Drosophila melanogaster: one gene and its partner. The protein of the gene in region 1 interacts with the protein of each later gene in a pairwise test. Each region holds a gene or a part of one and is shown in the gene's direction. Other genes may lie near its edges. The genes, in order: CG14367 and CG14506.

The links.
Region 2: the proteins of CG14367 (region 1) and CG14506 interact in a two-hybrid assay, tested with the Drosophila melanogaster proteins (one large-scale study listed by BioGRID).

What each region holds. Positions count from the first base shown.
Region 1 is NT_033777.3:13,691,761-13,696,013, forward strand, and holds CG14367 (uncharacterized protein), read left to right. Parts: upstream 1-2,292; coding exon 2,293-2,395; intron 2,396-2,449; coding exon 2,450-2,658; intron 2,659-2,713; coding exon 2,714-2,874; intron 2,875-3,022; coding exon 3,023-3,482; 3' UTR 3,483-3,753; downstream 3,754-4,253. Other genes in the region: f-cup (flyers-cup), read right to left, coding at 3,777-3,882, 3,946-4,131, 4,201-4,253.
Region 2 is NT_033777.3:29,293,018-29,299,107, reverse strand, and holds CG14506 (uncharacterized protein), read left to right. Parts: upstream 1-1,927; 5' UTR 1,928-2,013; coding exon 2,014-2,053; intron 2,054-2,114; coding exon 2,115-3,289; 3' UTR 3,290-3,947; intron 3,948-4,022; 3' UTR 4,023-5,365; downstream 5,366-6,090.

The sequences.
Region 1 (4,253 bases):
AATTATAAATTAGTACACACATAACAGAATACAAGAAACCACGGCAAACAACAAGCAACAAACAACACACAGACCCCACACACCAACACCAACGAATGTTAGGATTGCATTGGCGGCAACGACATACAGCACAGTAGGCAAGCAAGCAAATAGCCGTACGATGTAAGATCGAACAAGAAAGCATAAATTTAAATTTTAGCATAAAATTTATTTTAAAGGAGAAGCAAAAACACCTAAAGTAAACGAGAAATTATAAATCTTACTTTACTAAATTAAATAACTACATATAGATATATATATATATATTCAAATATATATGCATATGAAAACACAGATAACTATAACTGATCAGCATCCACAAGCAGAGATGTAGTTGAGTGCGTGTTGTTGGAAAGTTGGCAAAGCAAAGCATTAACGAAACAAACCAAAATAAATTGTATTTAGTAGTTAAATCCCCCTCTCTCCAAACTGATATGAACAGCAGCAGCAGCGCCAGCGCAATGGAGGTGTGGTCAGGTGGTGAGGGAGATTTGTATACAGCCAGCGCCAGCACATCCATTTGCAATGTCTATCGTATGAGATCGTATGAGTTAACAGATCCTGTGAAGTTGGCTGCTGGCCCAGAATGTTTGTGCAATACTTTCGTGTCGATATTTAAATAACAATTGCAAAAGGGTGTATTTAGTTCTAAAGCCTAGACTTAACCATTTTTACGATCCTTCTCACCATTGAGATGGATTTTCTGCCAATTGTACTATCACTATCACGATACAGCGCTGTTTTCACTTGACAATTTCATTAAATAATTCTTATCGCGAAAGCATTTTATGAAAGTTTCTATTGCAAGCAGTGCTGTAAATAGATGTTTTTAATTTTAAAATTTAAACTATTCCCACAGCAGTAAAATGTTTTTTTTTCCATTAGGATTGCTTCTGTTTTTTGTGTAATTGCGATTGTTTTCTGAATATCAACCAGATTGCCAGGGCCAACTTGACGAAGTTTGTTAGCCGGCCCCTTGAGTTAAATGCAGATAACACTTGAACCCAATGAACCTTGTATATAATTTAGTCACTCTCAATGCGCGATTAGTTGATAACTGCCCTTGCACCACTGACGCCGACATTAAACGCATATATTTGCACTTGGAGATATCGAAATCTTTGCACATTATCGTGCTGTTCGAAATCCAGAGTCTTGAGATGTGTTGTCTGTGTAATTGACTGTGTAATTACAAACAATTGTTGCGCTATCCTTGCATTATTGAAACACACAAACAAAAACACAACACACATCAATAAATTATTAATGATAATGATAACAAATAGGACGTAAAGTTAAACTAATGTGGGGCAAACAGACATCAGCAAGCAGAGATAACAATAAAATAAAGTCTTAAGTAAAATAGTCTTCTTGAGTTTTCGAGTAAGTTTTTTTCGTATTTAACTATAATATTAATTTGTATTTAACGAATGTAGTAGGGCTCACTTGGAACCAATCCAATCCAATTCAATCCACACTCATACGCTCGCTCACACACTGAAACCAATTGACATCCCACAGCTACACTGACAGAAAGTAATAAAGTTATTTGTTAATAATCGTATTTGCCATGTGCGTTGCGTACTGTACTACATTTATTTATTTTAGTGTTTAAAGAACTTGTCACTGCAAACGGTTTCCCCCGAGCAACCGATCGTTCCCACTCCCGAAGTCCACGATCTATACCTATGATAGTACACCAATAAAATAGACGGGGAATACGTGTATCCAAACATTTGTCCTTCCAAGTTGATGTTTTTGTTTGTTTGATTGAGCAGCATTAACAAGAACAAGGATAACAACAAGAAACAGAAACGAAAACAAAACAAAATGATAATGAAAACGATAACGAAAACTAAGCGTAAACGTAAAGCGACAACACTATAGTTTATACATAGTATTTATATGAATCGTGTATTGTATATGATATGCTGTCTAATCCCTAATCCTAACACATACCCATTACGTCTATAATTTGAATATTTTATTTAGTTGTTAAAACATCCGTGCGTAAAATGCGATATATATAACTCTATATTATTATTATGAGTAAATTAAATAATAGTTTTTAATAGTTTTTAAACAGAAACAAATGGCAAAGCTCTCAAGTTGTTATTTTATTCAATATAGCAGCAAATACCTGACTGTCAGGTGTTTGGTGCTGGGTGGTTTTTCATTTGCCATGGCAACCGATTCAAGGACCAAACAAATGTCGACTATGCAGTTTAGTCACTTCTTTCAATTGTAGCTAAAATGTCGGTGGAAGACTCCTGGGTTTTCGATTCGCTGGTGTGCTTCCTGCACGGGCCCATTTGGAATGCTCCGCTTCAGACGTTCATAGAGCAAAAGTCCTTAGGTGAGAAGTCCACTCAGAAAATGTAATCGCCAGTAACGCAGGGATTTGGTGCAGTCTTCGATCCCAACCAGCAGTTGGATGAGAACAATCCGGACATACTGCAGATACACGAGGAATACAAGAATCTGGTGGACTACATGCTCGGCAGCTTCATGGAGGAGATGCAGATATCACCGGAGCAGTTCGAAATGGCCTGTCTGGAGGGTAGGCAGCAGGGTCAGGGCGAGAATCCCTTTCATTTCCACCAGGTGCTTTTCCAGCAGGTATGTGCGGTCGCACGATCTCACACAGTCGTGTCTCCAAGATGTCATCTTTCAGATATGGGCCGCCAACGATCTGAAGATATTCATACGGATGATGACGCAACGCAACGTGGAGCTTCAGCTGCAGGCCCTGGATCTCATAGAGAAAAATCAATTAGCCCCTGGTGGCGTCGAGGAGGGGGATGACCGCAGTGCGGACGCTAGCTCGGATCCAGGGTGGGTAATGATGTCTTATGCAATTGTAGGCACTTTGCCAACCAAATTGTACACGGGTTTTGGTAATTAGTAATCAATACTTCTTGTTTTTTGGTCATTATTCTATATCGCATATATATATTATATATGAACATTATACTTTGAACAGGGATACCGCCTCCGAGGTGGAACAAATGATAGCCAAGACGGTGTCTGACGAACTGGAGAGCCCCGAAGCGGCCCTAACTCCAGAGCAGGAGCCCAATCTGGAGCTGGTTAACGACAAGTTCCAGCGCCTGAATCTGTTCTTCGAGCAGGAGGATCGTGTGGACCCCAGTGATGTTGTCTCGCGGCAGGAGTACCTGCGCCAACAGCGTGACAAGATTGTGGAGATAAAGAAGCAGACGCGTGCAAAGCAACTGCAAGAGACCATGTCCCGCGGTACTCCACATGCACCGGAAGGAGCACGTCCCAGCTCCGCGTTGGTGGCCCAACAGCTGCTCGAGAATGGCGGCCAGACTAAGGAGCTCTCCATGCCGGCACCACTAGAAGCTGAGGAGAACGCTGCCCTGCAGCTCAGACGCAATCTTGCCAAGCGCTTGCGCAGCGAAGTGGTTGAGCAGAAGTGAAAGAAAGGACGCACTTTTTTCCCTACTATTCCCATTTATTGCAGATACTCAGCCAGGATTAACAACGTGCATTAGGTATTGTGGCATGCAGACTAGTTTGGTTGGTTGATGCACGGTGTGTGTCGTATGTTGTACTTGTAACGCCACCCCTCATCCATGTCCACAAACAGCCAATCCATAGATTGATTGTTTGTGGGCATGGTCGAGCGGATCTATCAATTTCCATTACGCTATTCCTCAAAATAAACATATTGCTAGTGAAGTGTTTCTCAAAAAACGGTGTGAATTGCTCTTCTATGTGGGTATGCGATCGCGCAAATACGACATGATGGCGTCAGTGCCCTTCATCAGGATTTGGTGGCGGGGCTGTCGAAATGGATTGCCCACCAGCTCCAAGTGACTGCAATATACAGAGAAAATAAGTTTGGCTCCAAACAATATATATCCCCAGCAAGGATCTTACGTTATGTTTGTCAGGTTCCCCAAAATTGGTGGCACTGTCTCGATGTCGTTATTGCGCAAATCCAATGTGCTCAAACGTCGCATGTTCTGCAGACCCGATACATTTAACATTTTTATGTGGTTCTCACTGGCAATGAGGATCTCCAGGCCTTGCAGCTCGTACACACAGTTGGGAATACACGGAAAGCTGAAAATAAACAAGTGGGAAGTTTAAATAAAGCTACATAGTTTAGAAAAGATATTTCCCAATACCCACCGATTGTTTGCAATGTTTAGTTCACGCAGTGTATTCAAGACACCAAACTCCGT
Region 2 (6,090 bases), about 16 Mb from region 1:
CTGGGAAAGTCTTGAATGCAAATGTGTGCCTGTCTCTGATTTGTAATCAAATTAAATTTGTGTTTGGTACAAACAATGAGCGACAGACGACAACATCTCGCATCCGTGATAAAAGCCGAAATTCCTGGTAGACACCAAAGTCAGGCCGGAAAATGCAGTTTTCCCACAGTTGCCGCACGGCTCCAATCGCAACTTCTAGGGAAACTCCCTCACCACCAGAGCTGCGCTGGTGAAAACCTCATAAATTCTCACTTTTTGGCAGGCCGCACACGGCGAGGGAAATTCGAGGCGGCAGGACTCGAAGGACACAGCGCCAGGCGATGAATAGACATTCCCGAGATAATCAACGGCATTATCTTCTGATTATTATGTGTTCTTGGGGCATTTCAGGGAATTTCGTTATGATGAAACTCGCAAAAAATATCGAACTATATCCGGGATGATCGGCGGATGATGAGGATGCCGGGACACCCGGTTGAGTGGCTGAGTATCCGCTTTCCTTTCTCCTCTCTCGTTTAGTTTTTTTTTTTTTCGCAAATTCTCTGTGAGCTCATCATAATCATCATCAAACCCTCGGTCACTTGAGGTTTAAGCCAACATTAAAAAAGAGCCGAAAAAACACCCAAAGACGAAGGAAATCGCCGAAATGAACGTGAGAACACTGAATGTCCTCGTACCGAAATTTGCTTGGGCTCCTCATTGTTCGTTGAAGTGCTCGAGAGAGATTTGCTAGTTGTGTCCTTATTGTTTGCGGGCGAATGTTCATGAATGAATCAATGAATGCCTGAATGGCTAAACGGCTGAAGTTCACGTCCGCACAAAGTATCCGAGTATCTGAGGGATATTGCCGCGTTTTTAGCTGGAATCCCGGATGCAGTCGAGGCGTGAGAAGGAGGCGATCTCTGCGGCCTTGGCAACAAGTCTATTAGTCCGCCATGGTCCACTTGTTTATGGCTTACGTAACCTGGGTGGCAAAGGATGTGCAGGATCTGCACTGGCAGATGGATTCGTGAAAGGGATGCGCGCCCTGATTTCTGCGAGTTGGGTAAACATTCATCGCATCCGGTGCACCCTTGACCGATTGCGAATGCAAATCGCACATTAGAAGCCATGTGCAACTTTCCGCCCAGCAGTCAAACATTATGCAACCGAAACCGAAGGCCGCCCAGTCCATTGATGGCAAATGACAGGGAAACCCATTCGGGACACGTTTTTATGGAGGTGCGAAATGGCACATTTTTTCGACGAAACCTGCCGCGTCATTGAGTCGTCGTCCTTTTTACACCGGCTATGTGCAACCTGAACAACCTGTGCAAGCCTTGCAATTTGTCACCTGAGGCGACATTCAAACTGCCAACGCATTCCAGCTGGGTTTTTGCCTTTGGCCTACTGGTTCCTTTCATTTGGCCACGATTTGGTGGCAACAGTTTCATGAATCGCAGCCGGAATGCCGACCGTTACGAATATTCATTCATGGCACGGCAGCCACTCTGGGGACCTTAAATGGGGCTTTGACTTTGATCCTACAGTTTCATAAAATATTTATGAAATTTCCGATGAAAATATTTGTGCTCAGTTTGGCAAATCATTTCCTTGTGCGAAACGGATAAAAATTTTCCCAGGCCTCGATGAACTGAAAGTGCAATTTTCATTTATGCAATGGGAAAGGTTTGAGTAGGTTTGACTTTTAAGGATTTGGGGAAACCTCAGGGGAAAGACTTTAGATTCTGCGTAAAAATTAGGGAATTTATTTCTATGAATGGCAATTTTTAAGGGAAAACTCCCCACTTCACCACTCTTATAATAAATAGTCATTGATCAGAGTTGGCTTTGGGTTTGTCTATCAACCAAGTATATTTCAACTTGGCTTTAAAAAGCATGGATAGTTCATGGAGCTCCTTGATTTCCCTAGAACCCCTGGGAGTGACCAACACGCCATTGGACTTGCCTGGACTTGATTCGTGTCCTTCGCCAAAAAGAGCAAGGATTAGTGAATCCCAGCTGGGGGAAGCCATGCCCAGGGAACCAGCTAGTGTCTATGGGGAAAAGGCAGGTGAGAACGGCTATCGGGGACTTTAAGCTTCTCACGGACTTTGAATTATCCACAATCCTAGCAAATTTCCATTCCCTACAAGAGAAGGTGAAAACGTACCAACCTGGCACAGTGGTAGTCCAGCCACCCGAACGACGGCCTCCCGAGCCGGAACACGATCGCCTGATGTTCATTCCCGACCTAGACCAGGACATTACCCATCGGGATGTGTTCACCTATTTCAGCAAATTTGGGGATTTGGAGAGGGTCAGCGTGAGGAATGGCATGAGTAACTTTAACTACGCCATGGTGCGGTTTAGTCGCACTTCATACATGGAGCATGCCATCGAATCGAATCCACATCTGATCAAGGGATACCGATTGAACTGTCGCAAGGCGAAAGAAAAAAGTACAAATAAGGGAAGTCAGCAAAACTCTGGGACCATAAAAAAACCAAAGGCAACGATAACGCAGCCACACAAAGCTCCTGTAAGGCAGGCAGAGAAAAACGACGCCAAACAAAGTGGTCACAAATCTTTAGAGAAGAATTCGAAGCCACCAATTAACAGATCATTGCTTCTTCAAAAACTGGTAGAACCCACGTCCTATAGTCCATTTACCGCCGTAAAATCTGATCGAAACTATGCCTATGCATTAACCAATGACATTGGAATCTCCCGCTGGAGCTTTAACTTGTTGAAATTCGAACCCAGTTCAGACGAGGTGAGGGCCCTGGAAAAGGGTCTTTCCAGTTCGGCAAAGCTCCTACTGAGCATACGGAAGAAACTGGCTGCCGTGCCCCACAAGTCTGTCGAGCCACCAGCTCCAAAGTGGCCACAAACTCCTAGTGATAAAGCCGTTCCAAAAGTTACTCTTAAGATAGCTCCACCAATTCCTGCCTCTAGTCCAGTGCTCCCATCCCTGCCACAAACTCCTAGTGATAAAGCCGTTCCAAAAGTTATTTTTAAAATACCTCCACCACCTCCTGCCTCTAGTCCAGTGCTCCCATCCTTGCCGAGCCTTCTGCCGATCACTCCCCTAGTGCCTAAGCCCAAACCTGTTCTTCGAAAAGTTTCCAAGTCAGATCTCCGCTACGCCGTTCTAGCCAGTTTGGGTCAGAACTATGTCCATCACTGCTACACTAATGTGGCAGCTTATCGGCGGACCAAGAACTACGTCGACCTACAGCTCAGCGAGATGAAAGACCGACCCAGCATTTCGATGTTTGCGGATCAGATGTACGCACAGAAAGAGTAGGAATTACCAAATGCAAATCATATCTATCATATCATATATCATTCAATATAACAATAGTTAAGCAATATTTCCCAAGAAACTTCAAAGAACACTTTCATTATAAGGAAATGGCATACATTACATAAGTCGGACACTTTCTAAATTGAGGGAAGCCGAAGGATGTGACTTAGATTCCTGGAAGATATGAATGGAGCTGCTTGAATGAAACGTGAACATATTACACAAAAAGTTCCAATTCCAATTCAAAGGCACTTGAATCGCAGCAACCTGTCAACATAATTAATCCCCTGGATCAGCTGATGACGGTACTGCCCCTGACCGAATGATACACAAAATATGAACAATTCCTAGAGGGGGCGCGGGAATGCGATAAATGCGATGAAATAGGGGGCCTTGATTTCTGTAGCGCGGCCTCTGTTCTGCCCGACATTCCCAAGGATGTGCCTCCAAAAACCTGGCTTTCTTCTTGCTGGGCCGTGTTAATTGTCCAACATTGTGTGAGCGTGGACGTGAACAGGTCGGGTGCCATTAACAATCTTAACAACGATCCACAGCCACGGCCACGGCGATCCCACGGCTTGTCGCCTTGTTTCTCGAGCAGTTTTTTATGCCATTTACGAAGAAATCTTGCAACAAATCAGGAGCTCCCTTTTCCACAGTAAATACGAGTGTGCGAGAGCGACCTTTATTCGTTTGATGTTAAAAAAATTGTTCTACCTTCTCCCCCCCCCAGCACTACTTGTCTTCCTTTTTGGCCGGCCATCTCTGTGAACCTGTGACGACGCAATTCTTTGCCATTATCAGCTGCATCCTTGCAGGTCCTGCACTAGTTGCCCCCGCTCTCAATTCCGTTGCCGACCCCGATTCAATTTGGCTTTTATTGGGATCTCGGGCATCCCGATCCCGATCCCGATGCGATCCTAATTGCGGTGGCAATAGCTCGGCGTTTAATCACTTCGTACCTGCGGCTTAGACAGTCAAACCCGGCAGTCACTCATCGCGGCGGAGGCGGATATGTAGTAGAGCTGCACATATAAATGGGTATATGGTCCTGCAAATGGATCGACCTCGATGATTTTCACCAGCCAAATTGCGGCTTTGTGTTGCCTTTTCCCATTTGCCGGTGGATACATTTGGACTGGATCGTTATCTGGTTCTCTTTGTGCTTTCAAGGTTTATGGTCTAGCACACATATATTTCCTGTGAGAACAAATCCCAGTCCTGATGACCCCCGTAAACAAACCCGGTGAACATGGAACATCCCGACTAACAGCAACAACATCGGTGTCTTCCACTAAGTATTCGAATTCCCCTTCCAATTTTTGTGGGGCGATCGTGTACTCGCGGGCTGAAAAATCTACATAATGACAGGGCCACGCCGAAAACTAGTTCAGATCGCAAATTACGAACCGGTAAGGGATGGGATGAGATATACATGCATGTGTGTGTTGCAGTTCCCATTCAGGACACTCGGGACAGGACATCGAGCGCAACGGGAGACGCGGCGCGTTGAGGTTCGGCAAAGGTCATGTCAGGACTTTGCATAAAATGTTTGAAAATGTTTTCATTATGGTAAGTAGACACAAAAGTCCAACACACGAGCGATTCCCACCGAAAGGGGTGTCCTTTCCCAGCCCATCCCAGCCCGTGCGCCCAGGATCCTGGCATATATTGGTGATAAATTAGTTTAATGTTCGAAGCACCAAACTCGCAAGAAGCACACGAAAAAAAAAACACTCAACCGCAGCTGAGGCGGCAAAGTTTGGCAGGAAAATCCGACCTACCGTTTTTGGCGGCATTTTCCCGACATATACGTGTCCATCGAAATGAACTCGAGTCCTGGCAACTAATGAACTACGCAAACAATAGCTCAATGGCTACGCTTTAAGGAAAAAACGACGTAAAAATCACGTCTTGGAAATTTTCACATCGTTGATCTTAAATGGAAAATTACACTTCTCTAGCTGGACAGTGCAGGACAAACAGGATAGAATAGCGATCAGGACATGACACAATTGCAGTTTGCAGGACAATTGTTGCACTCACGCACGTGCAATGTGTTCCTGCAACTCGGTGTCTCTGGATTTCGAAGTCGAGTGCGCAGGGCCACGCCCATTGTGTGTCCCAGTGGCCGACTATATAGTACAGTGCGTTTCGTGAATGAAGCGACCAAAGTTACGAGTTACTTTGAATAGCGGCGGCGGTGGCAAGTGGATCAGATCCTGCGACAATGGCCTTTGTGTCCTTTGTCTTCCGCCTTGTTGGGGGTGTGCGGTGTTGTTGCAATTTTAGTGTAATTTTATTGTTATTAATTGTATGAAATGGGTTTTTAAATGGCCTTTGTCTAGGCCAATGAATGGCCATAGTCATAGTAAAAACGTGCCTTGTTAAAGGCATGTAATATCATAGGTTTTTTATTTTTAGCGGGACAAATAAATCTAGTAATTGTAACAAGAGTTATATTGTTTCCACACATTTCGCAGCAGTTTAGAGCACTTTCCTTTTAAACGAAAAGGAATGACTTTGTGTTACAACAACTATCATGTTATCAAAGCGGAATAATAAGTTTTTAAAGTAAATAAATAAATAAACTCAAGGCTATTGAGATCATTGCCAAAGAAAATATAATCACCGGCAATATGATGACTTCAAAAATACTCTAAGAAAAGCATTGTAATTGTCTGTTCTCTAAAATAATAGTAGATATATGAAGAAATTGTAAGGACTGCTCTTAGGAAGAACAGCAGTACTCCATAGAAATATGAACTGAAGTGTTCAGAATTCAAGTATCCTAAGGTCAA